Regions from separate parts of the Mus musculus genome. Here regions 1, 3 and 4 are each reported to be linked to region 2. The links are microRNA targets in miRTarBase. Many come from high-throughput screens and were not tested one by one. Region 2 holds a microRNA gene; each other region holds the end of a gene's coding sequence.

Evidence for each region. The annotated mature microRNA mmu-miR-101a-3p reads UACAGUACUGUGAUAACUGAA and lies in region 2 at 4,073-4,093, shown strand. An mRNA with a match to its seed (bases 2 to 7 or 8) in the 3' UTR can be bound and repressed. Matches are read on the target gene's strand: a 7mer-m8 pairs with bases 2 to 8, a 7mer-A1 pairs with bases 2 to 7 and ends in A, and an 8mer does both.
Region 1: miRTarBase lists Rcor3 as a target of mmu-miR-101a-3p. Seed matches in the 3' UTR shown: 7mer-A1 at 6,091-6,097.
Region 3: the mRNA of Dusp1 is a reported target of mmu-miR-101a-3p. Seed matches in the 3' UTR shown: 8mer at 880-887.
Region 4: the mRNA of B3gnt5 is a reported target of mmu-miR-101a-3p. Seed matches in the 3' UTR shown: 7mer-m8 at 5,977-5,983.

The regions. Positions count from the first base shown.
Region 1 is chr1:192,094,467-192,101,588 of GRCm38, forward strand. It overlaps Rcor3 (REST corepressor 3), which reads right to left. Exons shown (of 12, transcript NM_001346740.1): 12 at 4,080-6,689. The coding sequence ends at 6,345. Among named protein-coding and RNA genes, the nearest start is that of Traf5, 5.4 kb to the left of the region's middle.
Region 2 is chr4:101,343,928-101,351,049 of GRCm38, reverse strand. It overlaps Mir101a (microRNA 101a), which reads left to right and starts at 4,023; the gene lies at 4,023-4,105. It overlaps E130102H24Rik (RIKEN cDNA E130102H24 gene), which reads left to right. Exons shown (of 2, transcript NR_040708.1): 2 at 3,947-4,526.
Region 3 is chr17:26,499,557-26,506,678 of GRCm38, reverse strand. It overlaps Dusp1 (dual specificity phosphatase 1), which reads left to right. Exons shown (of 4, transcript NM_013642.3): 4 at 29-1,088. The coding sequence ends at 399. It overlaps Gm34455 (a long non-coding RNA gene), which reads left to right and starts at 2,332. Exons shown (of 3, transcript XR_876694.2): 1 at 2,332-3,739.
Region 4 is chr16:19,769,040-19,776,161 of GRCm38, reverse strand. B3gnt5 (UDP-GlcNAc:betaGal beta-1,3-N-acetylglucosaminyltransferase 5) reads right to left here. Exons shown (of 4, transcript NM_054052.3): 4 at 3,409-7,122. The coding sequence ends at 5,999. Among named protein-coding and RNA genes, the nearest start is that of B3gnt5, 12 kb to the right of the region's middle.

The DNA of each region.
Region 1 (7,122 bases), not on the chromosome of region 2:
GATTTACTAGTCCTTAAACTAGAGTCACTTATAAAGAGAAGGATGGCATGATACACAAACTCTTTCTTCAGAAGGAAAGGGCAAATATATGATTCTTCAGGACACTCTACCTACCACCAGTGGTTTAACTGGTTGGTGTGACTGGGCAGTCTGATGAAGAGGGAAGGCTGCCACCTGTTGGTCGAATGCATTATTTCCCTCAGTTTATACAACAAGACTGATGAAGTCATGTGTTAGTTGAGGACAAAAAGCATAATTCCAGGGCAGGTAGGCAGAAGCTGGACAGGGCAAAGGCTGTCCCAGGGCCTGCAGACGCCATTAAGATGAACAAATGTGCTGTGGTGATGGGGAAAGACGGAAGAGCAGAGCACTGTGCGCTATGAGGAGAGGCAGAGCTAGAGCCGAGAAGAGGGAGAGGCTGAGAGAGAGGGCTGAGGTGGATAGTGGGGTCGGTGGGATGATGTGCAGCACCTCACAGCGTAGACAGATGCTGATCCCCCAGCTCCAAACACACTATCAGGCCACGGGATTGTCCTAGCTCTGGGAAATGGCAGAGGCCCAAGATGGGGAACGGTTCACTCTCTGGATTGGACCTCTATGGAGGCACCACCATGGCTCATGGTCCCATGAAGGCTATGTGTGGTCCTGATGCGGTGGGGTCGAGTCGATGTCCGTGGCCCATATTACCACCAAATACCATGCATATATCTGCAGTCTATGCTCTGGTCTGAAGCCATGTTGGTGGGCTGTGCTGCCAACAGAGGCCATACTGATCTGAGTGGCCTTTGCTGCCACCAGAGGCCACAGTGATATCTGAACCCATGCTGCCTTCAAGGGCTTTGTCTGGGTCCATGATCTTGGTGCAGCAGGTGGCCATGTTCATGGTCTTGGCTGTTTCCAGAAACCACGAGGAAGGCCATGATCTGAGCTCCAGCTGACTGTAAAGATCAAGGAAGCTACTTTGGCAGTGATGATGACTGCAGATGCAGTTGAGAAAGAGGGGCATGGAAGCCCATACTATCACCTAATGGTAGATGATACCACCACCCCAACCCCCCATGTAACAGCCTAAAAAGGAAGCCACCAAAGAGAACTCTTCTTTTTGAAAAAAGATTGATTTATTTTTTTTTTATGAGTACACTGTAGCTGCCTTCAGACACACCAGAAGAGGGAATTAGATTCCATTACAGATGGTTGTGGGCCACCATGCGGTTGCTGGGAATTGAACTCAGGACCTCTGGAAGAGCAGTCCGTACTCCTAACCACCGAGGCATTTCTCCAGCCGAAGAGAACTCTTAAAACCTGTGATAAACTGAGGTGCAGCTCTCTACCTTTGATGCCTTGGTGAGTGTACAGTGGAGAAGAACCCAGCTTTCCTTAGGGGTCTGCCCACTGGATGTCTGATCATGCTCTAGTGAGTATGTAGACAACACAAATGCATTTTTTTTTAAATTGGGGTGTAATCACAAGGGCTGTGGGGAAGACATGGAAGAACGGGGAAGTGAGTATGATCTGGATGGATGATATAAATATCCCAAAGAATCAATATAAACATTTTTGTGAAAAAAAATACATACTATCACCTAATGGTAGATGTAGTCAGACAAGGAGAAAACATCTCTTTGGGCTTCAAATTGCACATTTAACCTCCTTGGGCTTGAAGCTGCATGATTAACTTCCATTGTAGGCTACAGTGGAAAGCCTGCTCATCAGGTGGCTCGTGTAAAGGATGGCAAGCAGCAATCCCCAGCAGAAAGCAAGCCTCTGATTGTGGTGTGCATAGAAGACTTGCTGGCTTACCAAGTGTGTTGCACCAACACCTGTGAGTTATCTTCCTGACTAGCAAGAGATGATCATTCCCATTCCATCAAAGAACCCTGCCCTCAGCTCTGCCTTTTGGTGGGCTGATTACAACAAAAAGACAGGCAGAGGACAGATCTCCCCAAACTGATAAAATTTGTTTTTAAAGATACTCTTAAACCCGGCAGTGTTACATGCCTTTAATCCCAGCACTCGGGAGGCAGAGGTAGGCGGATTTCTGAGTTCGAGGCTAGCCTGGTCTACAGAGTGAGTTCCAGGGCTACACAGAGAAACCCTGTCTCGAAAAAAAACCAAGTGAACAAACAAACACTCTGGAGAGATGGTTAAGTGCACTGATTGCTTTTTCTATTCTTTTTGTTTTTAAAGATTTATTTTTAAGATTTTTAAAATTTAATTTACAAAGGTTCACTATAGCTGTCTTCAGACACAACAGAAGAGGGCATTGGATCCCATCACAGATGGTTGTGAGCCACCATGTGGTTGCTGGGGATTGAACTCAGGACCTTTGGAAGAGCAGTCAGTCCTCTTAACCACTGTGCCATCTCTCCAACCCTACTGGTTGCTTTTTTTTTTTTTTTTTTTTCTCGAGACAGGGTTTCTCTGTGTAGCTCTGGCTGTCCTGGAACTCACTTTGTAGACCAGGCTGGCCTCGAACTCAGAAATCCGCCTGCCTCTGCCTCCCGAGTGCTGGGATTAAAGGCGTGTGCCACCACGCCTGGCTTGGTTGCTTTTTTTAAAAAGGACTCAGGTTCAATTCCCAGCACCCACAAGGCAGCTTTCCACTGTGTATAGCTCCAATTGCAGGGGAACTGATGCTCTTTTGGGGGCTGCCAGCACTGCATTCACTAGTGAAGCAGTTCCTAGCAGCAGGCAATATCCATATACATAGACTGCATTCTCTAAGCCTATGTGCACAGTAGCTGCAATTCTAGCTTAGAAACCTAAGACATGCACATGTCTCTTGTTCTGCCTTGCTACGAGCTGATACGGGAAGTGGTCCCGTCCTCTTGAGTTTGTTGCAGAGCACGTTTGACTCCGCATGCCTGTTCTTTTCACACTTCTTGTGTCTGGTGTCTGTGTGAGGAAGCACTTTAGTTAGGGGTCTTATTGTTCTGAATCTAGACCTGCTGTTATTTTACACCTGGGGAAATGTGGATACCCCTGAAGACAGCTCTTCAGTCTCATATCTCCTATGGTGGGAAATGTAAGCAAAATGGACTGTCTTTTCCATCAGAGGGTTAAATTCGATAAAATTCTATTAAAGAATTGTAAGGAAGCCTCTTGGCAGAAATTCAAGTCCCCTCAGGGTCAGGACCTCATGAAATCACAATACGTTTTCAGGGTTGCCCCCTCTTCTCAACAGTGAGTCAGCCCCACACTTGGGGGCCAACTGACCATGGAGTCAGGCACAAGGTTGCTGAATTTGAAGGACTGAACAGGGACCCTGCTAGCTGCACTTGCCTGCTTAGTTTGAAATAATACACACACACACACACACACACACATATATATATATATATATATATGCCTTGCTGTCATGACATACTTTGGATTGTGTAGTCGTTTTCCTGGGGTCTTGGGCCCATTTCTAACAGCACCCCACCATTGTCCTTAAAAACCTTGCTCACCCAAATTCCTGCCAGAGTTCTAAGATGTCACACCTGGAAAACCCACCCTCATTGTAGTCTCCAGTTTGTTAATGACAGCTTGCAAATACCCCAATGCAACTACTATCTCCCTTCACTGCTTCCTCATTAAGTGTTCAGGGACAGAAGACATGTTGAGGAAAGGGGGAGGGACAAAGGATGTGACATGGGGACAGTCACAGAAGAGGGGAGCACAGATCCAAGGAAAGGTTGGGGCAGTACGGGGTAGAGGTTGCTTGAAAATGCCAACACCTGATATTAAAAACACAAAGGAAAGACTCCAGGTACCATTGTGGTCCTTCAGTAACAGACAGACAAGGATGAAAGTCTTGGTGGACTGTATGTGTGGTGGCTCATTTTAGGTGTCAACTTGACCGCATCTGGAGTCAGCTAAAACCCAAGCAGTTGGGCATACCCATGAAGCCTTCTTGATTGGGAAGAGGCATTTTAACATGGGCCACACCTTCTGATGGCACTCCACATAAAACAGAATTTTACATTCTTTCACTTTGTGTGTTCTACTCAATTCTACTCAATCGTAAGCTCACTCTTGATCGTAACTTACCTTTGATTCCATCCATATTACACTGGAATTAAATACTTTTTCGTTAATTTTAACAGTAGTAGCAACAATGTGATTTATTTTTAGTTATGTTATAAAAACACTTTGGTGTAGATCTCTCAAAAAAGATAACTTCAGAATTAACAAAAATGGTCATTAAGAAATTTCTAGGCTTTGCTTTATATATATATATATAAACCAGTACTTAGAATTTCACAGTGAGAGGTCCTAAATTCTCATACAATATGAGGTTATATAAAAATAGAAGACATGGACACCTTTAAATCTTTAATCCTTTAAGCAGCAAGCATATTACTCTTCCAGGCCAAACACTGCTCAAACAAAAAAGGAAAATAATGACGTGCAAAATATTTACAAAATATGCAAAGCACACAATGAAGACATCTCACTATATACATGTGTCATATTACTAATGAAACTACTATTCTTCTACTGTGTGCTCTAGTGTTTGTAAAGAAAATTGCAACACATCCCTCAGATACAGCACCTAAGCCACAGATACTGAACATCTGGACAGATGCTGGTGCTGAACAACTTGACTGACATCTCCCACAGACTGTACTGCAGGTCTACTGACGAGAGACAAGACGATGAAAGCTGTCACGGTATAATATGCACGTACACAAGACAAGTGCTTTCAAAAATGCTCTAGACAGTTTAAGATACATAACCGTCTTCCATGGCTTTTAAAGTAAAAATAAGTATAAATTCTCTATTATTATTTTTAGATCAGTTACATTTTATACGGGGCATAAACTATTAAGGTGATCTGATGAGAAAAAAAAAAAGGGCCTTTTCTGCAAGCCACTTTCAATCACATCAGAATAGAGGGTCCTTTTGAAGGGAAAGCTGAAAATTAAAATTGACCAATGGGCTGGAGAGCCCATAAAGGGATTATTTTTTTCCAGTACTTAAGGAAACATGACCCCTCTGATGTGGGCAGCCTGCGGCCCTAGCAAGTGTCCCTCTACAGCAAGCCATGCTTCCCATATGAAGTCATTCTATCAAAGCTGTCAGTAACACGCTGTTGAAACTCCGCCATAGTAAAATATTCTTTGTGGGTGCTAATGACTTTGCATTGGAATAAAAAGGCCTTAAGCCTCTGTTTCTTCATAAAAACGATCTCAGTACGTTAGCTAACGGCACAATTATTGCAACAACACAATGAGCTCATCTTGTGATGCCGATGACTTAGCCCTAAATCAAACCACAAGCTCAGGTTGGTTGAAAGGATCATACAAATGTATTCAGATGTTCAACAGAGATTTAGCAAGGAAAAAAAAAAAAAACCAAACCAAACCAAACACTCTTTGTATCAAACACAGATCCTCTTAGTGAGTATGAACTTTAAGTTCAGAAGATAAACTGTAAATAAATGTTTCCATAACCACCATCTCTACATAACTGAAAATTGTTCTAAATTCCCAACATAGGCAGATACTAGCTAAAAGCAAATAGCATTTAGAAACTTCTTTTTTCAAAATTAATATTTTCAAAGAACTTAAAAAACATTATATCTCACCAAATTTTAAGTCCTTTTTCTGCATGTGAGTGATTCCAAACCTCTATTACTGATAGATAACAGGGTCAATGACCTTTAAACAAGGACTTTGCACTAGGACCCCAAACTATGTTAAAGGATTAGCAGGTTCAATACATTCTTTGTGGTTTCATATAATTGCTTTGCAATTGATTTAATTGCTTTCTTTTAAAGGAATATACTAAAATTCCTTTAGAAAAAAAGCAACATATTTTGAAAAAAGGGATATGAAGCTATAATTTCTTAAATATGAACATATCAAAATCTGAAATGCAGGCTATTTATCTTGCACTCCTAACATAGGAAAGTGTCTTTTAAAAAATTTAAATTAAAGAAAAAAGCAGAAAGATAAACATCCTTAAGGAACTTAAGGAGTTTTTTTTTTGTTTTGTTTTTGTTTTGTTTTTGTTTTGTTTTTTTTACAATTCCTAAGTCAATATTTTTGTACTAACAGTTTTGAGTATGAAGAGGCAGGAAAAAAGAAACCTCAACAAAATAAATACAGTAAAAATGAACGAAAACCCCTTGGTAGACAGAATACTTTTCTTCCCATGAGATCACAGTGGGCACTAGAAAGGAGGCCAAACAGAGGCCTCCTGCTGTGTCACACCACTTACACTAGTCCACCGCCACACTTCCCGTGTGTGCGCACCCTCTTAGGCTAGACCCCCGCCACAGGAAGGACTAGTTTGCCTTGTTTGGATCAGTCAGATGAGCACTGGTACAATGATAGGTGAGCCTTTGTCCAGCGTAATTAGTGCAGTGAAGGCTGTGAATCTGTCTGAATCCCAATGAGTGAAGGTGGCTGCTGACCGCCAACCGTGGTCAACACTGGTCTTGGGTTTAGGCGGGGTGGCATGGAGTTAGCAGGGCGAATGAGAGGTGGAGGAGGCTGATTGAGAGTTGGCCGGGGCTGGATGAACCGAGCCTGCTGCTGGAGTGGAGGAGGTTGTCGGTGAAGAGCAGGGGCGGCAGGCAGTGTTGGACGAAGAAGTGGTGGAGGCTGGTTCAGAGTGGCAATGGGGACTGTTGGTGTTGGAGTGGATGATGGGGCAGGAGGTGATGGACCCAGAGTCCGAGGAGCCTGTGGGGTCTGTGCCTAGAGGTGAGGAAACAAAAATAAAAATACCTGTGTGAGATTTAAGTCCTAACAAACTTGGTACAATATAGTTTGGGCTGTCACAGGAAAAACAAAACAAAACAAATAAAACCAAAACCAAAATATAACACCAGTGTTTATTGGAAGCACAGGCTTCTTTTATTTTTAACAAAATAAAAATAAACAACCCTCCTCCCCACCCAAAAACAAGAAACAAAAAACCCAACAAGGCTACCAAACAGACATCTTTATTAGTAAACAGCTTAACAGTAGAAATAATACACTTTCGCTCTGCTAGGACCAGAAGCTGGCATGTCCTTATGACTAAGCAGTCAGAGACGCCTCACGAGGAAGTGTATTGTCAGCCTTATGCTCATTTAGCTAGTCCTCACACACCCTCACAGCACACCACCAGAAGGGCGGGGCGGCTCCT
Region 2 (7,122 bases):
GTGTGGAAGTTGTGGAAGTCTGTCCTCTCTTGCATCATGTAGGTCTCCGGGGATGGAACTCCAGGCATCAGCCTTTGAAAGAAGCAGTTTTACTCACGGAGCCATCTCTCCAGCCCCCTGCCTGTGGGACTTTGTACATGTCTTCTCTGGAAGGATGCTGGTTTGATCTCATCTACATGGGCCTGCTGCTGTGCAGCCTGAACATTTTCGAGGCCAGTGCCCGAAGTGGATGGGACAGTGATGTGCGCGTCTTGGTGCTGGCTGTGTTTGAATGTCAGGGCTGGCTTTGAACAGAACGTGTTGCCTTGACTTTTAACCGGTCTTTCTCCTCAAGGAAGAGGGAAAACAAAAAACAACAAACCAATCTGCAACCTTTTCCAGGGTTTTCCACAAGTCTTTGGCACATTTAGTTTCTTAAAGTGTAATATAGCCGAGTTTGCAGCAAGGTGCACACTGCATGCACCACTGAGGCTCCTGGCCAGGCAAGTGCGGATGTGGAGACCCCTGCTGCCAGGACACTGCCATACTATTTAATATTGTCAGTCAGCTGGTTTATGGTTTTCAAGTTAAAGGAGTTGGGGATTTAAATTAGCCAGCAGCAGTCTTCAAACAGTTCTGGCTTATGGGCAACTTCCCATGCCTCCAGTTATGTAACACATAGGCAGTTTAATGGCTTCAGGTCATATGTTAATTTTTTAGCTTGCAGTTGGCAGGAGCACAGTGTACCTTCAGTCAGATCATTTGTATTCTGTGTCACTCAGGAGCAAGGTATATGGCACAGCACTGTCCCTGAAGGACTTGGATTTTAAGAAATTTTTCGGAGAAGTAATTACGAAGAAATTGGTTCTTTTTTTGTTGTTTTGTTTTTAAACTTTGGGTTTTTTTGTTTTGTTTTGTTTTGTCTTGTCTTGTTTTTTGTTTGTCTGTTTGCTTGTTTTTAAGACAGGGTCTCCCTATATTTAAGGTTGGCCTAGAATTCACCCTCTAGCTCAGGCTGACTTGGAACTCAACGCAGCCATAATGCTTCCACAGTGCTGGGATTGAATAGGCACGGCCCACTATGTCTGGCTGTTTTGTCTTTTGTTGGTGTTGGTGTTAGTTTGGTTTGGTTTTTCAAGACAGGGTTTCTCTGTAGCCGTGGCTGTCCTGGAACTCACTCTGTAGGCCAGGCTGGCCTCAAACTCAGAAATCTGCCTGCCTCTGCCTCTGGAACGCTGGAATTCAAGTGTGTTTCCATAGATGGAGAAGATTCTGTGGTCAGGAGAAACTAAGCATTAGTATTTTTATACTTTTTGGTTACTCAGATCTCCAAACTTTTTTCTTTTGTAACAATCAAACTAGCTTTGTTCACATGACCTGCGTATGATTTGGGTGAAAACGTGCAACCATTTCCAGGAATCAAGAGTTGTGGGCACCAGCTCGTTCTTTCTTTCAATCTTCACTGCCACCTTGTGCCTCAAATATGTATTACATCAGTTTGCTAAGCCCTACTTGCCAATGACGCCTTAACTTTTAGCTATCTTTGCACTTTGGAGAGGTTGTTTTTAATTTCTGTGAGGTAGATTATTTCATTTGGTTATCACTTTTCTAAAGATGAAGGTCAGTTTTGTAGTACATAGAGTTACTTGCTGAGCTACATTCATTGTGCTATTCTGGTTTTTGACTCCTGATCTAAAGAATTGATTCGCCTATCTGACTTATTTGAGGCAGAGTTAATGTCTGATCTGCATATAGTGAGTCTTTGAAATTGAGCAAATGACTAATTGAAAACACCATTATTTTTCAAATACTTGTCAAGCTCTGCTCATGCTGAAATTGTTTGAGATGTGACTGACATGGGAAAATGGAATGAATCATGGTTTTAAAACGTTGGTATTCTTATGTTGACATTCTGATCTTACAGACCTTTTTAAACACCTCCCAGGGTAGCCTAGAAGGCACAGAGATCCACCTGCCTCAGCTTCCCTAGTGGGACTAAAGGCATGCGCCACCATGCCCAGCCCTTTTTTGTACCTTTTATTAAAAACAGGACTCCTCTCTGAAGTAACTTTAGGGTATGTCTCAAAGGTACAGCTACTAATAATGAAAGTGATGTTGTGTTGCCTTTTTTAAAAGACACATTCCAGCATGGCAGTGGTGGTGCATGCCTTTAGTCCTAGCATTTAGAAGGCAGGGGCAGATAGATCTGTGAGTTTGAGGCCAGCCTGATCTATAGCAAGTTCCAGGACAGCCAGGCCACAGAGAGAAACCCTGTATCCATTATTATTATTATTTTAATTATTGCATTAATAATTTATTATCTATTATACCTACTATAATAGATAATGTGTGGTAATGGTTATATTGTATATTAATAACTACACCCTATGTTAGTGATTTTATTAATAAATATGTTAGTAATATATTGATTATTATTATGTAAAAGTCATCCCAAAGATTTCTAGCCTCACACGATTTTACCTGTAGAACTGGCATAAACCACAGTGAGAGCATGGCGTGGGTGAGCACCGCCCAGCGGGTCAGCAACGTGACTGTTCAGAGTCTAGAGCAGCAAGACTGATTTGGGGGGAATTACTTCTGAAAGTACAAACCATTAGTTTCTGTTTCATGGTCTGGGTTACTAGGAAACCAGATCTCCGTACAAAACACTCAGTAATGTTTGTGAGTGTTATCAACTGAATATCCTGGACAGTGATGAGATGAGCAGGGGAGAGAAGGAAGATCCAATGTCTACAGAAACTAATTTGGACCTGAGTTGCTTAGTTATAAGATCTTGGGCAAATCACAGAATGTCCCAGGGTTTCTGTGGGTTTTTTTTACACTTTTTTAAAAAAGATTTTTGTTTTTTAGTTTTTTGAGACAGGATGTTTATGTATTCCTGGCTGTCCTGTAGCTTGCTATGTAGACTAGGCTGGACCCAAGCTCACAGACTTCTTCCTGCCTCTGCCTCTTGAGTGCTGGGATTAAAGGTGTGCACCACCTCACTGGCTTTATTTTTATTTTATGGATTTGAGTGTTTTGTCTGCGTGTATGTCTGTGTGCTGTGCGTGTGTGCATGTGTGTGTGTGTGTGTGTGTGTGTGTGTGTGTGCAGTGCCCCCAGGGTGCAGAAAGACAGCATCAGATCCTCTGGATCTAGAATTAGAGATGGTTGTAAGCCACTGTTTGGATTCTGGAAATGGGACCCAGGTTCTCTATAAGAGCAGTCTACACTCTTAACTGCTAAGTGACCTCAGCAGCTGTGTGTTGTGTGTACATGTGTGTATGCACATGCACATGTACTTTTGAAGTTATTCTGTGACAATTTCATGCACGTTTATGGTTCTTGATCGGATCCCTCTCCGACTTCCTGCCCTGAGTTTCGTTTTGTTTCTTCAATCTGTAAAGTGCTATCATGTTGCTGAACCTAGTTCCATAATTCCTTTTTGGATGGGTTTGAGAACAATTCATTGTTAACTCCGTAGGATTTTATAAAAATTAAATGAAGAAACAAACAGAAAAGTATTGACTCTCAGGCAGCTGTGAAGCACCCTCTGGTGTCTGGTTATGGAACCGTGTCTCACAGAACTCACAGAGATCAGCCTGCCTTTGCCTTCTGAGTGCTGGGATAAAGGCTGGCGCCAACAAGCCTGGCTCTAAGAAAGGGCTTGAAACTTAACCTTCCTGGAATAAACACTTGGTGCATAGGTGTGAGATTGGGGGGATGCGGTCTGTGAACATAGAGACATACTGAGAAATGTAAGATGTGCATATAACCAGAAAGAAAGTTCACTTGTGCTTACTCCATTTGTGTGTGTGTGTGTGTGTGTGTGTGTGTGAGAGAGAGAGAGAGAGAGAGAGAGAGAGAGAGAGATGTGTTCACCTTTCCTTTACTGTAGTTCAATTGGTCTTTACTGCTTCACCCTCATCAAATGACCTCTTTTCTTCTGCTTTTTGCCTCCATCCAGAAGTGCATCTTTCAGTCCTTCACTCCGAGGGGCACCTTCGAAGGGGGTGACGTCACTGACGGACACGGTGACTGACAGGCTGCCCTGGCTCAGTTATCACAGTGCTGATGCTGTCCATTCTAAAGGTACAGTACTGTGATAACTGAAGGATGGCAGCCATCTTGCCTTCCTCCCGAGAAGTCTCATCACAGCAGGCGAAAGGCATGGGAAGCAGGACACCGGGACAGGACCAGACACACTTCACACCGCTCCTGTGTTCACCACTCTTCCAGGCTCCATTTGGTAACAAGGAGCAAAACAATGTAGCAGCTTGCACAGGGTATGAAGACGGTTATGCTGAGGACAAACAGGGTCTGTGGAACCTTTCATGTCTGGGAAGATTGACACTAAGAAAGTCCTAAGGACAAATCAACATATCTCAAACGGAGAGAAACGATCCATTTTATAAACAAAAAAAGTAACTTAATTGACAGCTTTGCATTTGGTCCTTCACTGTTGGGTGGTCAGAGTTAAACAGGGAATGGCATTATGTGTCAGACAGTATCAATGCATATGAATAAAATTATATCTGATTAAGGAATGGATAGTGACATGGCTTTTTCAAAAAAAAAATGTTATGGAATGTCACCTCTACATGAAAATATTATTTTATTCTATTAAGTAAATAAGACCACTCTACATGACAGCACAGATCAGCTTCAGAGATCTGAAGTTAGAGATACCAGCCAGTATCATGGTTGCATGAAGATCTAGAACCTTAATAGAGGATGTGTCTTCAGCCCACATCACCTTAAAAAGTACCATGAGTGGGGTCTGTGAAGACAGCTCTGTCACGCGTGTGCTTGTGTAAGTACAAGGACCTGAGTTCAGGCCCAGCCTCAGTGTGAAAATCTGGCCATGGTAATGTGTGAGTGTAATCCTTCAGTGCTGAAAATCAGAGACAGGTAGATCCCCGGCGCTTCCTCGCCAGCCAGCCTCACCGAATCTCCAAGCATACTGAGAAAACAAGGTGGACGGCTCCTGAGGAGTAACACTTGAGGTTAACCTCTGGCTCCTCCATGCATGCACACAACGGCATGTGCATGACATATAATTGGAGTAGAGAGTGAGGCTCTTAGAGAACCCAGGATTTATCACATTTCTCTCTGTCACTCATCCCTCCTAAGGACTTTGAATACACAAGCCAGTGAGTACCACAGTTGGTGACACTTTTGGGTCACAGTCTAGTGTGGGGCCCAGGCAATTGCATGGAATATGTGTTTTAGGCTCCAAACTTAAACAAGGTCCTATCACCTCTTCCTAGACTAACATGTATGTCTGGGATCCTTTCTACGTGGTAAAGGAACTGAAGCCATGACTTACATGTAAAGAGTCATGCCCATTTGAACTTAACCAATGGCAAGGACCCAGATGGGCCAGGAGAGCAAAGCCATATATGACTTTTAGCATATGTTGACATGTCCACTTAGTGTCTTAGTTTTCAGTACTCACTTCTCTACCAGGACAGAGGAGGAAAACCAGGCGCCGGGAGCCACCCCGTCTCTTTACCAGTTACTCTCTCTCTCTCTCTCACTTCTTTCCTTTCTCCACCTGCCAGGGACTCTGGTGGAGTCAGCTTGACAAAGCGAAAGCTGGAAAGCTAGTTCATGAAGCAAAGAGTTTCAAGGAAACTCCCTTCCCAGGGGCCTGGCATTTTCTCCCTAATCTATATAAACCATAAAATTAATTTTTCCATTCTCACATTAGTCTAGTGTATAGATCCACGTGCACTCTATATAGTATTACCTTATAGTAAATGCCTTTTAAGATTGTATTCTAACATAGCTAAAGCCTTTTTCCAGTGTTCTTAGATTTCAGATAGCAGCAAGGAGCTTAACCTATTCAGTAACTAATTAGTCCCATCATAAAACAATATAAACATCTGTCATTTACTCAGCTGTCTGTAGATAGAGACTAAAAGTCTCACTGAGATAGAAATCTTTTACTACAGGCTACATTCTATGTCAAGTATAAGTTGATATACTACCCTGATAAGGGGAAACTCTCCAGACAAGATAGTTTTACTAGACCTAAGAATTTAGAGCTCTGTGATAATGCATTACTCTTAAGGCCTATCAAGAGTTAACAACCCCCTGATGCTTTTAACCTTAAAGTGTGAAATTCTTGCCTGGCATTAGGCTGATCCTAGGCAGGGCTTGTTATCCCTAATGTAAACATTTAATTAGTCCCTGTAAATTTCTTTCTGCTGTAACTGGTGAATTTCAGTGTATCTTGTCTTTTTGTGATTTGTATCCTCTGATAATTCGTTGTAATATAAGTCTAAAGCTCAACCAGAACAATACATTCAGATTCAACACATCTTTCGTGTATCTGTCTGTCATTTTCATCCATATTCTTTGCCCATCTGCCTAAGAAATCCTGTTCTTCACAGACCAGGGACCCAGAGAGTCTGTGGCATCCACCCAAAAAGGAGCCAAGCTGGTAGGCCACACCTGCTTGGCCACACTGACCATGTTTACAGCATGGTACTTAAAGTGTCTTCACACAGTTTCTCATAAACCATGAGCCAGGCTCCCCTTGGTGGGTTATAGAGAGGGAGGGCCGCTCTTAAAATTCCTTGGAAAGGAACTTTTGACAGAAACCCTGAAAGAACTCAAGAGAAAGTTCTGGGATTGGTGAGTCTTCAAGTAATTGGAAACACTCCTAAATTTTAGTGTTTTAGCAGGTGGAAAAAAAGTGCTTGAAGAAGGAACAAGTTTGTAATCCTTGGCTTTCGGGTGGATTTCACCACCTTCCTGACCTTCCTGTTTTCCCTCCTACTGGTTTTACAAAAATTCATCAGGTTTGTTACTTGCCTAAGCTTGACCTTACAAGCCACGTTCATGCACGTGGCATGTTGCAGTTGTCTTATTCCTTTTGCTGTTGCAGTGATAAGATGCCCTGACAAAAGCAAATTCAGGGAGAGAGGATTTCTCAAGGCATCAGGAGCTTGAAGCAGCTGGCCACGTTCTGTTCATAGTAGGAAGGAGAGGGCAATGAGTTTATGCACACTGCTGTTTAGCCTGCTTCCTCCCTGTTACACTGTCATGGATTCCTGCCTAGGGAATGGTGCCTACCATGGTGGGCAGCTCTTCAACCTTAATTAATGTAATGAAAATCCCCCCACACTCACAAAG
Region 3 (7,122 bases), not on the chromosome of region 2:
TTGAGTAACCCATAACTTTATTTTCCAGACTCCATCAAGGATGCTGGAGGGAGAGTGTTTGTTCATTGCCAGGCCGGCATCTCCCGGTCAGCCACCATCTGCCTTGCTTACCTCATGAGGACTAACCGGGTAAAGCTGGACGAGGCCTTTGAGTTTGTGAAGCAGAGGCGGAGTATCATCTCCCCGAACTTCAGCTTCATGGGCCAGCTGCTGCAGTTTGAGTCCCAAGTGCTAGCCCCTCACTGCTCTGCTGAAGCTGGGAGCCCTGCCATGGCTGTCCTTGACCGGGGCACCTCTACTACCACAGTCTTCAACTTCCCTGTTTCCATCCCCGTCCACCCCACGAACAGTGCCCTGAACTACCTTAAAAGCCCCATCACCACCTCTCCAAGCTGCTGAAGGGCAAGGGGAGGTGTGGAGTTTCACTTGCCACCGGGTCGCCACTCCTCCTGTGGGAGGAGCAATGCAATAACTCTGGGAGAGGCTCATGGGAGCTGGTCCTTATTTATTTAACACCCCCCTCACCCCCCAACTCCTCCTGAGTTCCACTGAGTTCCTAAGCAGTCACAACAATGACTTGACCGCAAGACATTTGCTGAACTCGGCACATTCGGGACCAATATATTGTGGGTACATCAAGTCCCTCTGACAAAACAGGGCAGAAGAGAAAGGACTCTGTTTGAGGCAGTTTCTTCGCTTGCCTGTTTTTTTTTTTCTAGAAACTTCATGCTTGACACACCCACCAGTATTAACCATTCCCGATGACATGCGCGTATGAGAGTTTTTACCTTTATTTATTTTTGTGTAGGTCGGTGGTCTGCCTTCACAAATGTCATTGTCTACTCATAGAAGAACCAAATACCTCAATTTTGTGTTTGCGTACTGTACTATCTTGTAAATAGACCCAGAGCAGGTTTGCTTTCGGCACTGACAGACAAAGCCAGTGTAGGTTTGTAGCTTTCAGTTATCGACAGTTGTATGTTTGTTTATTTATGATCTGAAGTAATATATTTCTTCTTCTGAGAAGACATTTTGTTACTGGGATGACTTTTTTTATACAACAGAATAAATTATGACGTTTCTATTGAGCTCTCCGTGCTTTCTTTGGTGACCCCACTCTTGAGCAAGTGGCACAGGGAAGCAGTGGACCACTGTTGCCAACGTGGGTGGGGCTGGAGTCTGCTCCTTTTGGTTGACCCATGGGTTCCGAGGGAGGAATGCAGAAGAACTGTGTGAAGCACTAGGAGAACTGTGTGAAGCACTAGGAGAACTGTGTGAAGCACTAGGAGAACTGTGTGAAGCACTAGGAGCTATGTGAAGCACTAGATCTTAGCAGAGGGTCCTTTAACATGCACAGGCAATGCCATGCCACCCAGGGAACCTGAGTGTCTGCAGAAGCATTTACCTGAATTACCTTCTTTTATTAATCTCTTCCTTAGGAGTCATGGGCAAGATCTCCCCTTCCTGAACTATGTGCAGAATCCCTGGATTAATGCGTTCTCAGGATATACAAAGCTTGGGAGGAGCCGACCCTCAGAGAGGCTCAGGTGTTAAGCAGAGGAAGATGGGAGGCTCTGAGAGCTGAGCAACTGAGCAGGGAATTGGGAACTGTGCTTTGCTTTCTAATCCTATGGCCTTTAAACTTTGTCGCTTGTCTATATCATATGTGTGTGTGTGTGTATCCTTGAACAAGGCTTTTACATCTTTAAAAATAATGCATCAAATAATAATAATAAAAGAACCCAAGCTCTATATGCATGTACAGGGAAGAAATAACTTGCACTCCCTCTTACTTTTTGGAGGGTTTGTACAACGACCTCTACATAGAAATATCATTTTTGGCAGCTGTCTCCTTCAGGTCACTTGCTGTTCTTCATAACTGTGTTTTAGACATAGGCAATTAAGTCACACTTGCTGCAGGGCAGGACTCCGAATTTTCCCTCTTGCCAAGCAGACCAAGGCTGAGAAGGTATAATTGACTACCGAGCGATAATCTGATCTGTAATGTCGAATGAAGTAACAGCAAAGCCCTCGGGTTCGGGCCCCTGGGTGCCTGCTCTTCTGCAGCTCATTTGTGGACTAAGTGCTGTGTGAAGTGGAAGAGGAAACATCCCATTCATCTTGACTGGTGCCATGGTCCTCACCCAGCCCCATTGTTCAAGTCTTGACCCAGAATCTGTCCTTGACATCTCCCCCCTGCCACGTGACATCCGGGTCTGAAGAGCCTTGTGTTCTAAGACAGAAGAACTTGTCCTGTGCTGGCAAGCTCAAATCCTTGGCAGGGTTTGGGGTGAGTGGCTGCATGCTTTTTAAAACAAACTGTTTTTTTTTTTTTTTTTATCAAGCTCTTCAAGCTCTAGATATTTGCTGTTGTGAGTTGATCCCTTCGTGGAAATGTACCAGCAATGGCAATCCCGTGGCAGATGCAGGGACTGCCTTTCCCGTGGGCCTGGGCCTCTGCTTTCAACTTGGCAGCCACTGGCTGAACCCAAATTAATCTCCAGTGTGTGAGCCAGTCAATGGAAAAATACAGAGGCTGCCTCAGGGAGCTGCCAGGGAAAACAGTTCACTCATGTCTCCTCACAGCCCAGACCGGGAGCGATCCCTCTCACGGGTCACCTTTGCTGAGATGCTGCAGAAAATGGCAATGCTTGAGGCAAAATCAGTATGAAAATCAGGATGAAAAGATTCCATTTGAATGTTTGTTTCCCAGAGAGAACTGATGCAGACACAACGTAATGTTTAAGGCTCATGTGACAGTGACAGCTGTCAGTTTAAGAGCTGCCACTGAGTTCTGGGGTCCCCTAAGTGTTTTGCCTGTGTTCACAATCTTTCCCAGAGAAAGAGACAAGGCCGCTGAGTCAGTGTCCTAATTATTAGGTGGTCTCACAGAGACTGGAGTCTCAGTGAAGACCAGCCAAAAGAGCTCGAGCGGGGTTGCTAAATGTAAAGTTTTCTAACTAGCTGTGTTCCCCACTAGTCCAGAATTTGGCCTCAGTTTTCTGCTCTGTGTAACAAAGACAACAAAAGCTGCTTCCTGTGCTCACTGAGGACGATGGAGCAACAAATGGATCCCCTTGTCAACAGTGACATCTAGTTTTCCCACCCAGTGAAATGACCGGTTTGCCCTGATCTGAAGGGTCGGTTTCATCCTGGCTCTTTAATTTCAGGCTGCGGAAAGGCATAGATGCCCGTCCTGTGCTTTCCTGTGGTTTCCCCCGGCATCCATCCGATGAGGCTTCAGCCCCCACCACCTCCTCAGCATCCTCTCCTTCCTTTCCGGCGAACTCTGCAACTTGAAGCTCTCCTGCTTTGTACTTACATCCTCTGGCATGCGTCCCCCACCCCACCCTCCCTCCCGTCCACCCCACCCCCACCCCGTCCGTGGTCTCAACTTAACCAGAATGACATCATGGTGCCTACACCTTTAAGATTATATAAATCTGTGATCCCGCCTTGGCCTCCGTTCCCATGGTAACACTGAGGAGTTTCCCTTTTGTGAGGAAAGCTGTCATGTCACTTCCTGCTGCTGACAAGTCAGTTTGGGAGATTAAAATGAAGGGGGGCGGGGTGCCTCTGAGAAGTGCTGGCTGCTTGGTTTCTGTTGCTGTATACAGAGGCAAACAATGCCAGCCTGCTGACCCTGCCTTGCTGGAGCGGGCTTTCCCACACCCCCTAGTGGGGTGTATCCCGGTCACCTGGGGCTGTTTGTCTCCAAAGGTTGCATTCTGGGTAGCAGGTAGGAGGGCTGCCCACCTCTGGGGACTTTTTTTTCTGATGCTGTGCTGGGCAAGTTTGTTCAAGAACAACCCAGTTGAATCCAGCCTCGTTCTGCTCTAGTGTCTGATTAGCTCTGGGTTTTGTTCTCCGAAGAACAAAGGGTCCTCACAGTATTGGCCTTGAAGTGTTGTCTTACAGAGAACTTCTGTTGAGGAAAGTACCTAAAAACAAAACAAAACAAAAAACAAACAAACAAACAAAAAACCCATCTCCTAATGAGCTTTTAAATCTAAGAGCCGTCCCACTCATCCATTACCTCCATTGCGTATCTATGACTCCATTGCCCTCTAATTGGTGAAAGACCAAGCACTTGCTGGTAAGTGACCTCAAACTGGGATGTGTGTGTAAGGAGACCATGGGATATGGATGGAGCCATGAAGGCAGGTTGGTAAAAAAGGACATTCCAGTGTGGCTGGTCAGACACAGGTTGCTCAGGGGTCACCAGCCACATTGAGGCCCGAATGGCGCACTGGGAAAGAAGCTTAGCCCAAAGGACAGCAAAACCGGAGCCTTGAATGGACCATTTGTGGACAGGGAATAGAACATTTGAGTGGGTCGAACCTGTGAGTCCCGGATTTTGATAGTACTCTTGAAGCCTCAGTTTCCCCATCTTTAATGTGGGACAATCACCCCTTGCTCTAAAGGCGATTTTGATTCATGATTTAACTTAATGAAAAGCACATTATTGAGACTTGTGAGTCAGCTGGTCCCCATTCTGTCACAGCATGGATGCCCCTCCCTGAGCAGAGTGCCCTGGCAGAGGGAAACGGGTAAGCTGTCCTGCCTATGTCATGACGCCAGCCTGCATTCACATAATGCCTGTCACTAAGCCTCGCCAGAAGAAGTGGCCTTGCTCTGAGATCACTCCGCCCTGCCCCACTGGCCTGGGCCCTCTGAGAGACAGTTTCCTCATCTGTAAGAGGCACCTGAAGTGTCATCCAGCTTCCTCTCCTGGGCCTAAGGCCCCTCCATCCTCAAGGCCAGGGAGCCTGCAGTCCTAGGCTTCGTTCAGGTTGGCTGCAGAAGCCACAGGCTAGAAGTCAGATGTTTCTTAAGATGGCACATGGGGGGGGGGAACCTTAGAAAAGTGCTAGTGTAATGGACTTGACCCTCCCAAGAATGGGCTTCCCCAAAGCGTCTATGGAAGGAAGGTACCACCTACTCCCAAGTCCCAGGCCTGTCTTTGCCTTGCCCTGGACCACACCATAAAGATGGAATTATGAATCACCACCACAACTGGCATCAGTCACTCATCCATCCCTTCAGTAAGTATGTACTATAAGTACTGATGGTTTGTTAAGCTTTCATAGAATTAAAAAACGAGAAGGAATTCTGGGCTTCATCTACCAGCTGGTATCTGATTGTCCATGGAACGTGTCTCACCTCAAGATCTCAGTCCCGACATTTCTGTAAGAGAGTCATCAAGGGTTTGCTTCAGGCAGGTGCTAAAATCAAGAGAAGCAGACAGACACTGACACTCCGAGTGTTACCCATTAGCTCCTTTGGCCATTCCTGTTTTTAACGGCTCATAAGGAAAAGATAGAGGGCTGGAGAGATGGCTCAGCCATTAAAGGCTAGGTTCACAACCAAAAATATAAGAAAAGGGTAGAAAAGAGTACAGGAACATACACCGACAGTCTCCAACTTTATTCTCCACTCTAGGTGTTTGTCTAGATGGAAATGAAAGTACCCAATAGCACCCTAGAAATAGTCATGGGTCTTATGGGCACCCAAACCCAGCACTTCCAAATGCGTGCCTGGGATTTGCCCCTAAGCCAGGCTCTGTCTGTGGGACATTCCGCCTGTGACAATAGCGGCTCACAATATATTTAAGTCAACAGCAAATTGAGACAGGGCTATCTTCAAAACATATAAATTTTCCAAATAAACCAGTCCTATCATTTTTAAAACAGCCTGTGTAGTACGGCCACCCTCGTACCTTGCCTGTGTTGCTGAAGTAACCCCAGGTGTCTCCTGGGCTCTTCAGCCAGATTGTGAACACTCAGCTGGAAGCTGGTCTCTGCTTTTAGTGCTGATCTGAGGATCTCCCAGTTACTGTGCCTGCAAATGTTTTTCTTTACCTTTGTTACTTTTTTTTTTTAACCTTTGGTTACTTTTGCCCCATGTTGGGCACCAAAATGTTGTGATAAATATTATTTGGATCATTTAGTTCTCAAGTAAAGGACACAAAACCTCTGTAATTATAATAAGCCTAAAGCACTAGATCTGGGCAGACGTGAACCTCTATGATATTTTGTCTACTTCCCTGTCAGTCACTGCAGGGTATCACTCGCCATGTTCCACCTGGGCTGCTCCTGTTCCCACAGACTGGCCCTCATGGCCATGCAGTCATGATCCACCTACCCCATGGTGACTTCTTCCTTCTTCCTCCTCTCTTCTCTGCTTCCTCGTGGTCCCTGCCTCAAACCAAAGCTCTGACTACCTCTCTTCTGCCCAGCTCTAGGCTATAGCCATCTTTATTAGCCAATCATGGATAACTTGGAGAGCAAGGTTTACACAACAAAAGCTGGTAGATATGAGGACCTTCTTGTCTTGGAACAACCAGGTCTTGGGATACAGTATTTAGCATTGGAATACATAGCAGCACCAGCCCACTACACAAGGATGTTTCATTGAACAAAGAATTATAATTTTTGCTTGCTTGCTTTCTTCCTTCCTTCCTTTCTTTCTTCCTTCCTTCCTCCCTCCCTCCCTCCCTCCCTCCCTCCCTCTCTCTCTCTCTTTCTTTCTTTCTTTCTTTCTTTCTTTCTTTCTTTCTTTCTTTCTCCCTTCCTCTTTCTTTCTTTTTTCTCTTTCTTTCTCTCTCTCTTTCTTTCTTTCTTTCTTTCTTTCTTTCTTTCTTTCTTTCTTTCTTTCTTTCTTTCTTTCTCCCTCTTTCTTTTCTTTTCTTTCTCCCTTTCTCCCTTTCTCCCTTTCTCTCTTTCCTTCCTTCCTTCCTTTCTTTAATTACATTGAAGATATAGCCCACTGTCTTCAGGCTTTCTTTGTCACAGTTGGGAAGTACGCTTCTTACTTTTTACTCTTTGATTTAAGATTTTATCTTTGTAAGAAATTTTGATAGAATGTGTCTCTGCAGGTTTCTTTCTATGCATATCACTTATGTGTTGTGCTCTGAGATCTGTAACTTAATGCTGTTTAATACTCTGGGAAATTCTTGTTATTTTTTTTTAATATTCTTTAGATGCTAACATCATTTTTTATTTTACTGGGTGACCAAATACTCTCTGAGTCTTGCTGTTTCTCTCTCTGGAGATTAGCCCAGGGCTTTGTGCATACTAGGCAGGTGCTCTATCACTGAGCTAGACCCCCAGTCTTCTTTTT
Region 4 (7,122 bases), not on the chromosome of region 2:
AAGCACTTGAAAAAATGTTCAGCATCCTTAATCATCATGGAAATGCAAATCAAAACAACCTTGAGATTCTACCTCACACCAGTCAGAATGGCTAAGATCAAAAATTCAGGTGACAGCAGATGCTGGCGAGGATGTGGAGAAAGAGGAACACTCCTCCATTGTTGGTGGGATTGCAAGCTTGTACAACCACTCTGGAAATTAGTCTGGCAGTTCCTCAGAAAATTGGACATGGTACTACCAGAGGATCCAGCAATACCTCTCCTGGGCATATATCCAGAAGATGTTCCAACCGGTAAGGACACATGCTCCACTATGTTCATAGCAGCCTTATTTATAATAGCCAGAAGCTGGAAAGAACCCAGATGCCCCTCAACAGAGGAATGCATACAGAAAATGTGGTACATTTACACAATGGAGTACTACTCAGCTATTAAAAAGAATGAATTTATGAAATTCCTAGCCAAATGGATGGACCTGGAGGGCATCATCCTGAGTGAGGTAACCCAATCACAAAAGAACTCACACAATATGTACTCACTGATAAGTGGATATTAGCCCAGAATCTTAGAATACCCAAGATATAAGTTACAATTTGCTAAACACATGAAACTGAAGAAGAACGAAGACCAAAGTGTGGACACTTTGCCCCTTCTTAGAATTGGGAACAAAACACCCATGGAAGGAGTTACAGAGACAAAGTTTGGAGCTGAGACGAAAGGATGGACCATCTACAGACTGCCATATCCAGGGATCCATCCCATAATCAGCTTCTAAATGCTGACACCATTTCATAAACTAGCAAGATTTTGCTGAAAGGACCCTGATATAGCTGTCTTTTGTGAGACTATGCTGGGGCCTAGCAAACACAGAAGTGTATGCTCACAATCAGCTATTGGATGGATCACAGGGCCCCCAATGGAGGAGCTAGAGAAAGTAACCAAGGAGCTGAAGGGATCTGCAACCCTATAGGTGGAACAACAATATCAACTAACCAGTACCCCCGAGCTCGTGTCTCTAGCTGCATATGTAGCAGAAGATGGCCTAGTCGACCATCATTGGAAAGAGAGGCCCATTGGTGGTGCAAAATTTATCTGACTCAGTACATGGGAACGCCAGGGCCAAGAAGTGGGAGTGGGTGGGGGAGTTTTGGGATAGCATTGGAAATGTAAATGAAATAAATACCTAACTAAAAAAAATGAAAAACAAAAAATGTCTCAATAAGTTTGGACCGTAGGCAAGCCTGTAGGGAAATTTTCCTAATTTGGTATTGATGGGGGAAAGCTTGGCTCATTGTGGATGTGCCATCCCAAGGCTGGTGGTCCTGGGTCCTATTAGGAAGGAGGCTGAGCTTGCCTGGATGAACAAGCCAGTAAGCAGCACTCAGGCTTCTGCCTCCAGGTTCCCTCCCAGTTTGTGTTTCTGTCCTGGCTTCCTTCAGTGATGAAAAGTGCTATGGAAGTGTAAGCCTAAGAAATCCTTTCTTTCCCAGTTCTTTTATTTATTTATTTATTTATTTATTTTTTTATCACAGCCATAGTAGTCCTAAAGCACTTGCATTTAGCCGATGAATTGTACTATTAATTTATAGTAGACCACTAAATCATTTTATCATAAGAAATACAAGGGTAATATGTGAAGAAATTAATAAAAATCTTATGTTCTTATAAAACATTGTTAAGGCTAAATTACCCAAGTTCGTCATGAGATTAAAGAATCTACAAGGCTGTTCTGTTTTGCCATCATATGTATGTTGTGATCACTAGTCTTAGCTATATCATTTAATATGAATTTCCTTATTTACTCTTAATAGTATAGGTTTGAATTTTGATACATCACTGGTAAAAAGTTATTGGTGCTCATGCTTGTAGGTACAGTATGTTTAATAGTGAAATATTTTGAATGTATTGCATAGATTACAAAGCTTTAAGCACTGTAAGCAAAATGTTGACACTAGAAAGTATCCATGAAAGGTTTTGGTTTCTATAGGTAAATATCTTGCCAGAATAATATTACTATGTAATTGGATATACTGAGTCTCTACTGTCAGAATTTACACTGTAGCTAAGAATAAAAAATGGAACTATTGTAGGAAAATTTAATCCTGACCCAGTGTTTCAACCCTGACTTGATCATTCAGTTTCCAGATAAAAGACACATACAACCTTTATATTTACAATGAACCTTAATCAGTACTAGAGGTAGGCAGATATCTACCCTCTATGCTATTAGAATCTTCTTTCCTATTGACAACCCTGAATCATTACTTGCTGACTGCACTTCATCTGGACTGTTCTTAACTCCATTTGGCCAGCTCTCAAGGCTATGTTTTTATGGCTCACCTAATCCATGGCAGCTTCTCCTTTCTCCTCCACCTTCTTTTTCCCCTTGTCCTTCTCCTCTGACTCAAGCCCAAGCATCCCAAACCTCACCTATGTCCAGGTATTGGCTGTTGGTATCTTTACAAATTAGAAATGATTTGTGGGCAGGGTCACATAGGGTCACTTGGGTCTACATGAAGACTCCAGATCTTGGAGGCCTGTACTCAGCATTACCATCGACAAGAAGATTAAGCCTCGACATGGAATCTTTAGAGGGAGTTATCACAGGTGCGGATGTGGTTCTAGAAGGCAGATACTGAAAGTTTTCAAGTTCTTGTGCCTCTGTACCATGACGGAAACACATAGACAATTACAGGAATTCGGGATGGGTTAAGAGGGTCATACAGACAAGACTGGAGCTATGCCATAACTTCCCCATGGCCTGCTTCAGGTAGCGAAGGAAGAGAGGGGCCTGTGTGAAGACTGCACTGGCCTTGTGTGGGTCATTAACATAGACTTGCCTCTTTCAGATTCCTCAACTAGGGCTTCTCAGAGTATTCTTTGGCTGAATAAAGCAGATAGTGCTCTTGGCAAAAGAAACCAGCATCGCCAAGGGAGAGACAGAAAATAATGGAGTTTGTAATAATGTTGGCAGTAGGCAAAGCAAACTCATATAGGACAAGGAAATAGGACTTCTAAAGGCAGGTGGAAGAGTGTAGAGTCCATACTGGAAACAGCATTTGTGATGCATAACAAAGGTGTGAGGAGAACAAGTTAAATATTGCCCTGGTACAGAATTCATAACTGCCTAGAAAGAACAGTGAGGGAGACATCTAACGCCCTCTCATTATCATGGAATTGACATAAGGAAATGGGACTTCTAAAGTCAGAATTGGAGAACTGGCTTCCCCAAGATCTCAGGGTCCATTCTCACTGAAGCTATGATGTCCAGGTAAACTACAAAAGTAGACTTTAATAGTTAATGGCTTCTTCCAACTGTTGAGGTAAGTATCTCTCATCCAAACTACAGACATCACTGACATGCCTTGCAGGTACAAAGTTCTGCTACACCCAAGTAACGCAGATGCTTCCAAGTTCTTCTTTTATTCAGCTAATGAATAGAGTCTAACCTCTTTAGATGGCATCTTAATACACTAAAACTGCAAGAGCTTTTTGTCATGGCATTCTGGACAAACAGCATTTCCCACAGTCACAGCATAGCTCCTTAAGTAGCTCCATGACAGCCCACCAGTGAGCACAGCAGCAGGGTGAGCACACATAGGACAATGGATGGGTAGTGCAGGTTCTTCTGGTATAAGACAGCAGGTGACGATACACAGAATGATGCCCACACAGGATTTTAAATTCACATTACTGATGATTTTTTTAACTTCTTTATTGGAAAGCATGGCATTTTTAGACCTACTAATTATTTTTTTCCATACAAGATTGAAACTCAAACAATATAAATATTTAACATTTTGGTATAAAATTAGTAGCTGAAAAAAGATGCAAACCAATAATGAGGTAAGTTTTTGTTTTTAGCAGTTTTACTGTGTGCAGCCATTTTTTAAAACTCAAGTGACCATCTGGGACAATAATTTATTTCCTTTTTCATTTTATTTTTCATTTTGAAACTTGCATTTCCTTTCAAAATGAACAAGTTTCAAAATGAATATTTCCTTTAACTTCAAACCAGTTCCATTCTATTCTAAGCAAAAACTAAAAGATGAACAAGGTTCAAGAGAGCTCAATCAAACAAACAAAGAACTGCTTCATAAAGTACCAGTGTCAATGGACCATCTTGTATACAAGAGAGAGATACCATTTTCCAGCCAGTGACAACTTTTACCAGTTCCAAGTAGAAACGTGGACACATATTATCCTATGTGTACCTAAAGCCAGCAGCTAGCAAAGGGCCAATTGGTGAGAATTAACTATGAAGCTGCTTTTATTCTCTAGTACACTTTTATTCTCTAGTGTTTAAAAAATTGATCAGAAAATCTGAACTGTTAGTCATCTAAAACCTTGAATCTACCCTAAGATAACTACCTTAGAATGTTTAACACTAGTCTTGAAATTAGTAGGAAACTACCCGAGTAGGATAAACAAGCTTCATATCTCATAATAAAAAACTTCACAAAGATTTCTGTAAACATTTTTTTAAAAAAAATCTACCTGTGAAAACACAGATATCATTTAGTTGTGTATTTTTAGATTTTTTTGCATTGTTTCCAAAACCACCCTAATAATAGTAGCTAAACTTTCCCTATTATATGCATCTGTCTGAGGGTTGTTAAGCATCCATCTTCATTTGCTGAAATCGTGTTTTGACCTGCATTACAGGTCCTTAATCGATGAATACCCCTTAGTCCTTTCTGTGCTGGTGCACTGTTTGCATACCAGCCACATGTTTTAATCCTATTTTGTAAAATAAATGTAATTTAATTTATTAGATCTGCCAAGCCTCTGATTACAAAGAACATGCAGATTTACCAACATTTCTAATCTCATTTGGTCAGTTTCTCTAGCACTCTTATTTTGCTCCCATGTTTGAAATATTTAAAAGATAACCTCTGATAGCTATTGAGTCAAATAATGGATTATTTTAGACGTGGTACTATATTAAAAACTTTCAAGCTAAAAGTCTTCACTTGGAACAAAATCTGTGTCCTACAAGACCTTATTGGAAGCGGCATTTGAGTATTGAGTGCCATGGTCTGGACTCCAAGCTGATGTTACAATTACAAGGAAAAGAGACTTTTATTGCTTCTTTGTCTTCCCTTTTGGATGCTGAGCTATACCCCTAGTTCTATCTTTCCTTTAAGTCTCTTCTGTTATTATACTCCTCATTGTAAGCTGCATCCAAACAACTACCTTAAACAGAGGCCAATATCTAGTGTTTTAAAAGCCATTGAATAATTCATTAAATTAAAACAAGCTTATTGGAGTTGATAGTGATTTATCTTTAAAGAAGGTCCTCCAGGGGCCAGGAACTATTCTTGTTTTATAACTTTAGAGAAAGCGTACATATAGTTTTTATTAGGGTAGAGCTGACCACTTTCTAAAGTTTTTACACTAAAAATTAAATTTGAGAAAATGAAACAAATATATCTTAAATGATTCCAGAACTGCCTAGGTAACTGGCTGTAGGAATGCCAATGTTAAACGACTTAACTATAAGAAATTATATACATTTTCCACATATGTCCTCATTCGGATGAACCTTTCATCACGTTCCTTCTGCATCACCTGCCTCCCTCCACCTCTACCTAGAACTCTTTAATAAGATAATTGGGATTGCTTGTTCTAAGAGGTATTAATTTTTTAGAAATGCTATATTATATATTTCTCAGGTATCTTCCCCAAACTATTATTTTGATATCAAGGCTTCTCAGGTGTTCTCCATACCTTAAATACATGTGTAGAACCAAATGAGAACTTGAAATTCTTACTTTACCCTTGCTCATGATCTAAGTCGTTTAGAATATGAATTCCTTGAAATGAAATTAAGCTGCAGTTTAATTTGGAGTTACACTGACCAGTTTGACTGGGTTTTGAAATGAATCTCTTTGCTTTCAATTCATTTGACTTAGGGTAGAGAGAAACATTTACAGATTATTATTTTCCATTCAAGTTTGGCTCAGTGACACTTAACACAGTACAGCATTCATGTACTACTAAGCAAATGCAGCCCAACAAGGGTATGAATTCCTGTAAGTCAGTCTGCAGAGAAGAACTATCTTAATTAACCTGCAGTATATTTGACCAAAAAACCCTTTTGAAATGTTCTTTACTTTAGGATGTGTAGCCTCTATCCAGAGGTCCTGCAGATCTTGTAAGTGTCCGTGAGATGTCATCATCTTTTCATAGATGCAGGGGTGATAAGGAATTTTCCCTTCCCCAGAGAAAAATACATGGTCCTGTGGCAAGATTCCCACTTTATTGGCACAGAGGCCCATGAATACATCATCTATGTACATACTGGAATTCAGTGTCTGCGATGCCTCATAGATTTTGGCAGCTACATCTCTGGAGACAACATAGGCAGCACCAGCTGTATAGTCAGGGTAGGCTGGCCACTTGTACATTTCATAGGGAACATAGTATTTGCTGCTTTTATCCCTAACAGGAGGGCCACCTCGATGAACGTGACCAATCCAAAAGTCTCGAACTCCAATCTGCTCTAGCCCTTGAAGATATTCAATGAGATTTGGCATGTGGATAAATATATCATCATCAGCAGTCATCAGGAATTTGGCATGTGGACAAAAGGTATTTGCCCAGCTGAACTGAAGAAGGAATTTAGAAGTAAGATTGTGGAAAGAATCAATGAAATCTTGCTGAATTATATCCTTGTACACTTGATCTTCCCCGATTAGTCTTTTTTGCAGTTCTTTTCCCTTCAGTGGACCAGGAGTTCCTAATGCAAACAGAATTTTGATGTTGGCATTGAGTTGAGACTGAACATAGTTCTCATTGCCCCACGTTTTTCTGATTGCAGAACGTCGGCCATAGTTTTCAGGGGCAGTCTTTATAAACAGTAAGAGGAGGACATCTTGAGCCTGACACTTCTCTCTGTGGTTGATCAAGTATGGGTAGTGAGGCTGCACAGAGCTGTGCTTGAGAGACAGGGAATTGTTTACAAAGCCATAGCTATTTACGAGGTATCTGTAGGAGTAGGACTTCATATGGCTCATGATGTAATTATTGATTGGGCTCCAAAAAACCATGAAGCTTAATATAAAACAAGTGACAAAAAAGTGAAAAATTTTCCATCTTTTGACTCTTCTGCTAACAAACA